Drosophila melanogaster: one gene and its partner. The protein of the gene in region 2 purifies or fractionates together with the protein of the main gene of each other region. This does not show direct contact. Each region holds a gene or a part of one and is shown on either strand. Other genes may lie near its edges. The genes, in order: slow and Tsp.

The links.
Region 1: the proteins of Tsp (region 2) and slow purify together in Drosophila melanogaster (affinity purification with western blotting, with the first as the bait; one study listed by BioGRID). This does not show direct contact.

Annotation. Positions count from the first base shown.
Region 1 is NT_037436.4:4,382,354-4,386,282, reverse strand, and holds the start of slow (slowdown), read right to left. Parts: upstream 1,842-3,929; 5' UTR 1,656-1,841; exon of another isoform or gene 1,396-1,655; intron 1-1,395.
Region 2 is NT_033779.5:6,707,126-6,711,054, forward strand, and holds the start of Tsp (thrombospondin), read right to left. Parts: upstream 1,962-3,929; 5' UTR 1,162-1,961; intron 1-1,161.

The DNA of each region.
Region 1 (3,929 bases), on a different chromosome or scaffold from region 2:
TGTGATCGATAACTGTGAGATACATGTACCTTTTTCCAGCAAGTTCAACTGTTTTTAACGCGAAAACTCATTTCAATAACAATTGCAGCGACCCAAAAAAGGCCAAAGGAAAAACTGCAACAGCAGAGCTCAATTTGCTGGCATGTCCAGTCTTTTGCTAATTGCTTTGCAGCTGCAAGGGGGCGGAGGCCACGCCCACACGTGCCCCGCAGACCCATTGCCCATATGAACAAATAGTATATATCCATATATATGTATGCATATAGCTATGGTTCATGTTGACCCGCGACCAAGCCGGACAAAAGTCATAAACCCAGTTACCGTTAGCTGCGTAATTTATGGAAATGACTTTGTCTAATTAGCAAAGTCGAGGAAAAACAAGAAAACCAACAACAAACTCCACCCCACTTTCCAGTGGCGTTAACCATAATAACATTTGTATAGACACTATGATACGCAGAAAGGCACGATCGCTTTCCACGGATCGTGCCCCAAACTTCGATTTCTGATTGCTCACCTGCCAAACGATATGTGTGAGAATGCAGAATGCACGTTGGGGCAAACAAAAAAAAAACGAAACTCATTTAGCCATATGTATGCATAATTGTTAGCCAAACTAGTCTAAACAATGGAAAGTATTGATACATCTATTTTTGATTTGTGTCGTTTTCCGCTTTGTCACATTATTTACACTAATTTTTGATGGCGATAACGTCACAAGATTTACATATTTATTTTGGTTGCATTCATGTCAGCAATAATGTTGGGCTATAAAATGTTCATTTCGATAGTGAAGAAAAATGGTTATATAAAATATATATATTTTAAACTTATCTAAAAGAGTAAAAATAAATTACAAGATTTCCGCAGAACAATCTTTGTTTACGCAAAAACGAAGCAATGAATTAATCCTTTATCAGATCATTGTTGAAAGAAATAAAATTTATTGAGCAATTTATTGCCATTTCGAAATAAATAATTTGCATTGAAGAAAACACGGAAACAAATTACACTGTCTTAAACACTTTTTATCAAGGTGCAAATTACCGTAGAAAATTACCAAGAAAATTATCACAAATTGTACATTGAAAACTACTCAGAATTATTGACAATTATTTAATAAAGACATTGTCTTGAAGTTCTCACGATAATTAATTCTTAGACCATTTATGGCATTGTTTGGCAGCCAAAGCGCATATGTAAATGGTAAGCCAACTTAGTTAGCCGCTCCACAAAAATGCAAATTACGTCCATAAGTGACATGTAACTCCTAGACAGGATAGGCAATGCGATTTTGAGCAAGATTAATGCACTAGGAAATGTCGCACCGCGCTTTGACACACATTCAAATCATAAGTAATTGCAATTAATTAAAGCTATTTGCATGTGACTTACACACGGCGAACAAATTCCAACTGACCCAGCCAGTGTTCAGAGAAAAACAGAGATAATCTTGCCCAGATTTAAAATTCCTCTTTATAGAGATGACCCGAAACACGCGCGAATAAATCAAAGCACAATTATGCCAAATTTGCAATCACAAACAATAAATTGAATTGAGTTTTCGCGCTGACATTAAGCAGATACGCGGCACTGTGCCTTTTTTGTACAATAAAATATTTTAATGGCCGTGAATGGGCCTTTTCGAAACATACTATATATATATATTTGTGAAATATATACGGCTCTTGTGATTTTCCGGATTCTGCGTTAGCCGCTTCCGTATGCCAGGCACAAAAACCGAGCGAACTGGCTGCGATCTTTGAGATACAAATTTCCAGCTGGCGCGGCGGAGCTAACGAAATCCAAACCGATCGCTTAGAAGTCCCGAGACGAACTGAAAATGCACAGCCGAAACCGAAAGTCCAGTTAACGATCGGCGATCGACGGCGCTGCCAGTGCAGTCGGAAAGTGGAGCCAAAAGTATATAGATTGTATACTCTGAACACTCCGAACATCGGTAAATATTTAGTTATTTTCTTAAACATTGATTCATTCATATATCAGTAGCACACTTTACTTTTTGTTTACTTCTTTGGAATCGGGATAACTGTAGATGCCGTAGAAAATACGTCGAGTTTTCTGAAATCTACATATATATTTGTTTTTAAAAATATCTTTACCTGATATTTTAGCAAAATTTTGAAAAGGGTAAATTTCTCTAAAATAAGAAGCCACACAAACTTCTACAAATATGTAAGATTTTACTACTCAATTTATCTTGCTAAATATCAGTGGAATTTTAATATGTTTCTCAGGTGTATTCTTATTAGTCTGTATATAATCTGTATATATTTTTTTACAGCTAGAAATAGCCAGCTGGTCTGCACTGTCAGACCAGTCGAAGCCCATGTTCGGTGCACATTGGCTGGTTCGCTCAAACGAAATTGGACCGATGGGGGCACAAGTTGGCTTCCTTTGTTCGATGCAACTGTGGAGCGGATGAATTCGCCAGGCGGAAGAACTCTTTGTGGTGGGGCTGAGGGGCGCAGTGGTGGGTGGTGGGCGGCGCAGTGGGCAGGTATGCCCTCGGCTGGTCGTTGGCTGGTTTTTGAGTGCGTTACAGCTGTTTTGTTTATAGGAGGATCATCTCTGCACTCTCTGCACAGTTCAAACTATTTGGAAGTTGCGGTTTGTGCTTTTTATGGTCCGCCGTTGTTGTTCTTGCGGCCACGGCTGCTTTTGTTGCATCTTCTTCGGTCGGTGGCAAGTTGTTAAGTTAAATATTTACCCACCGCTGCCGGGCAGCCAGTTTAGGCCACGGCTCGCTGATCTTTCACATCGAGAATCCGAGTCCCAGAGCGAAGAAGAACTCGTTTCCAGCCCTTCTGTCCATATCGGGTGCTGGATCTGTCGTTGTCATCATAAGAGTGCTACTGTCAACCACACTCGAAAAATGCCACTAAGTCTAGATTTAATCAAAAATTCATGGGTTAAACATGATAAAGGTTTTAAATGTACTTTAATTCATGTCCTAAGTAAGTCTGTTATATTATATATGTACAGTACTTTCCTTAAGCATAATCACTTTTGTATATAACTTTTTTGATTGTGCTAGATACAATAGTTTCGCCAAGTGCATTGCCACATACTATTAGCCACTGGCAACAGAATAGCTGCCCACTGTCTAAATGCTGAGCACATTGGACATGTCAAAAGGATTTGCGCCTGCGCTGTGGAACATCCAGCATTCAGCATTCGTCCGTGCGAATCCATCCCATAAACTGGTTGCACATTCCCTGGCCAACAGAATGGTCATAAATCGAACAATGTGCCAGCCATTGACAGTTCGCTTAGCTGCACAAAGGTACTACGGTCTTCTCTTAATATTATGTGTGTGTTGCTTCGGTTTCCTCGCCGCCGACAATCACAATTTATTGGGCTATTAGCTGCCACTTGAGTGGGGACTTTGGGTTTGGGGAACACCCACGCCGCGTTCCCAAATCGAATTCAAATAAAGCATAAAAGCATAAGAGCTGAGATAACAAAGCCGGGTACCCCGCTCAGACAATTAACTGATAACAATTCATTAGCATTTCGTGTGGGTTGCCCATCGCCTTCGTCATAATCACGATCTTTTTCATCAGTTGCAGCAGCTCTGCATTGGAGTTTAGGTAATTTGACAGCCATTTGATGACCGACAACATGTGGCCAAAGTGTATCTTCTTAACTGGTTTAGGTGGGAAAGCATAATGGATTCGATTTTGTTACAGGCAATATATTTTTAATGAGAAGTATGAAAGACAAGCCATGCTTAAAAGGTTTACTAAGGTTAAGAACCATAACTTCGTTACGATTGTTATGTATTTAGCATTTTATTTGAAATTAACATGTTATTGCTCGCATGTGCTAATTTTAATTCAGAGCAGAATTTAGTCATCTTGATGTTATCGGCGCGTGTGTCAGCACATTTGTTTGATTCTCGGCCG
Region 2 (3,929 bases):
TGGTTACTACATCTTCAAGATTAATACCCCTTCGGGTCACAACGCCACTGCCGCTAAATAATATATTCAAATAATAAAATAACCGCAAGTCTGAAATGTCTCTCGAACAGGCAGTTATAAATTGTTATGGGGATCTTTGCAGTGGGCGTCTTTTAATTGAATCGCTTGGAATTGAGTAGCAGAGCCCAGTAGAAGCTGCAAAGTGATTGGGAAATCGAGCCAAATAAAATTAAGTATTTTAACCGTTGTTGGGGAATGTGACCAGCTTCATTTGGTCAACATCATTAGCAATCTGTGGCTGCCGTTTCGAATCACAATTCATATTTGTTGGAGGGGAAAATATTCTGTGCTCTGACCTTATATGATCCACATAATTATAGTTCTCGCAAAGGCATAAACCTCAATCTGATCTGCTTTAAATACGTGTGGAAAGTCCGGTAATTAATAAATTATGACTCGACTGCGGTATTTATGGCGCCAATGCAGATAAGATCTCCCCAGATCCCCCATAGATTAATGTCGCTCGAATGGTGAGGATGCCACAGGCCGATTTTGCCGCCAGATTGCGGTTGACTTGGGTGTGGCTAATTAATATGTATCGATAGTATTTGAATTACAACAACAATTAGCTTGATTTATCATCAGATATAAAATGGCGGTGAAATGAATAGAAATCTTGTGAGGCGCTCATAAAAAATATTCATAGATTGGCCTATCAACAACTTGGTGATTATCATGCAATAAAGTCGAATGAAAAGGAGTTAAACTGCTGTGGGTGTGCAGCTAGAAGATGCGATTCTTTAGTCTACAGTCTGTTAAGATTGAAAACAAGAAATTAGCATTTAGCTATTAATAACTTTCTAAATGAATGATATTAATAAACATAGACCCAAGTCGTGATTACTTCCGTATATCTTTCGTTTATCTTTACGATCCTGAGAATATGTTAAAAATGAGATGATGCATCATTATTAACGCAACTTCTTTAAGAACAACTTAATATGCTCTAGTACCTTCCAGGCACTTGAATATGGAATGCACTTCGCACCTGGCCACTTGGCGCACTCATTTTCCGAGTGAGCGGAGTGTAGCCCAGATTTTGGCCACACGAATAAGCAGCATATGTAGAAGCCCGGAGGTCTGGCCCACCTTCACACTCACCTCGTGGTCAAGGACGCTGCTCTTGCTCTAGAGGTGCCCCCACTGCGGATGTGGATGTGATCCAAGTGATCCACTTGGCGGGACGGAACTGACAGCTCCTTGTTGTTTGTGCGGCTCGTTTGCGCCACTTGCGGCTGTCAACGCGCAATTTAGAATGGAAACGACCTGAGTTATTTTTACGAGTATTGCCACACTTTTCCGCCGCTTTTTCCTGGACGCCCGCACAGACACTTTTATTATGTTGTACTTTTGCAGAGCGAAAGATCAAACACGTCGCAAGGGTATCTTCACACTAAAAGAATCGATAACGAAACGGATGCATTAGACCATTTAAACCCTTTTCGAAATACGCGCCAGGTAGAAAAGCTGGATTTTGGAATGGGGACACACGCGAAGATTTCGTGGAGTCGATTTTATGGAATCGCGGTGGAGAACACGCGACGCCAATGCCTACAATCCTCCAGCAACGACAACTGCTCCGCAACTGACTCGCCCGTTCGTGCCAATAAAAATTAAAACACTTTTATGCTATTAAGGCGAACGCGACGCGATCTTGGACACCTTGGATGCAGAGGATGCTGCTTGAGGATCGATCGGATTTAAAAATATGGGCAAAAAACTTTGTACAGCGCGGGCTGATTTCAAAAGCACACTTAGGAAGCGTTTGAAAACTGAAACATTCTCGCGATAGTTCGATCGATTGATGCTACTGATTTATCGCCAAAACTAATCACTGATCACTTATCGAAGCACCTAGGACACGCACCGTCTTGTTCAACGTTCCAACGCGAACTGAAACTGAAAATTTGAAAATGCAAAGGGAATGATCGACGCGCAGCGTCGACTGAGGCAGCGGCAGCGCTGTTGGCTGGAGCAACTTGGAGCAGCGACAACTTGTTGTTGCCTTTCTGCGTTTCTGTTTTGTTCTCAGCTGTTGTTGTTGCTCTTGGGAGAAACGCGGCATTTTGTCTTCGTTTGTGTTTCTTTTGATTTGACGCGTGAGTAAGCCGCGACGCCCACGTGCAAAATTTGCGTAAACATCGACAGTGTGGCCAGATCGCTGCTGAATAATTGAGGAAGTGAGTGGAAAAAGTGGTAGTCAACTTTCAGATCTCATATCTTCCGCTTCCTTAGTAAAAAATAAAATTTTATAATGGGTAATCTTCTTTAAAATATAGGAAATTTAAAATTTATTTTCTATATAGAAAATGTTATTTTAAATATTCTGTAACGATCAGCGCAGTTTTCGTTTGTGCGCTTTAAGTTGCAATTATGTAATATATTGTTTAAAACTGCTGTGTAATTTGTAAGAATAAATATTTTGGTTAAAAGTCGCTCTCTGTGATTATATTTATGGGTAATTACTTATTGTCTTCAGTTCATTAGTTTATCCACCAATTATTATGGTGGAGTCGCCCACTTGGGCTGCCCCAATTGTAGATCGTTTGGGCCATTAAACTGAAACTCAATCCCGAAACATGCTTACATTGTAGGCCCGTTTAAGGCCATTAAATCGGATTCGTGCGAACCCTTTTCCGATAATGCGTCCATCCTTGTTTTCGACCACCACCTCCAAATCCAAAGGAACTCGGTGGATGGGGCCAGACTTTTGCTCTTTTGAAATGGAGATCGTAAATAAACGGCACGCTCTGCAGGCATTCAAAACAGACGAACTACTCGTTAAAACCAGAGCCCAAAATGATATGCATATGGCACCTATTAATGGCTACTTATGCAGTACAAGTGTCCCCCATTTCGGAACTCCCTCCACTCCTATTTGCCGTTGACACGGGACTGATGCGTAACACGACAGTAGCATCGGGATCCAAGGGAAAGGGAAGTTGAATGAATGGCCCGACCTGTTCGTCATTATGTCGCCGGCATGTCAGCGGACAGTTGGAGGAGGGCATTATGCAGATGTGCATTTATCACGGAGTTGCGGTGCTGCGGACACACCCGAGATGCTATCCCACATCAACGCTGCATATTTTGCCGCTTTTCGGACAGCGGCGACCACTTGCTGAAATTTCATTATGTGCGTGATTTATAAATAAGCCTCGCTGGCCCCACGCCCCATTCCACACACTCCTCGTCCGAATCCTCCTCGAGTTGTTCCCAGCATCTTCAGTGGTTACGAGCTAAGACGTCCCACGCACTTTTCGACGCCGCAACAGCAACATCAAGTCTGATCTCCTCCGAAATGCCCCACCTTTACCCCACCACCTCGCACTGCAGTTCAGTGCGTATTAATCATAAAATTGTATTATTAACATGTTTATTTTTCGGTCTTCAAGATTCGATTACACGCATTCTTCCTGCTCTTCGTGTGCAGCGCTTTCTGGAGTGTTTTTTTTTCCTCAGCGAACGTGACTTTGTTGTGCAGTGTAACGAAAGTGAGCTACTTTCTAACACTCTTAGGGGGGTTTGGGATTATCATCAGCCTTCAATTGCTCTAGGAAATATTGTCATTTTACGACTTCGCCGGTTAATTGGGTTACGTGGCTTTGGCCACTGATGCCGACCAGGCCAGATGCCTTGCACCTGGAAATAGTGTGGGAGTTGGCAAGACATGGTTTGATTGGAGTGAAGTTGGTCAAGCTTCCGGCTTAATGATTCAAAGGAGAGTGTTTAATGGCAGTTGATAAATATGCATATCTAAGTGCAAATATTTACCTAAAGGTGTTACCATAGCTCTCCATTCACCCTACAAACTAAAAGCAAGTGCTTATCACTTAATTTCCAACTCAGCCCCTTTTTTTTTGGGCCAA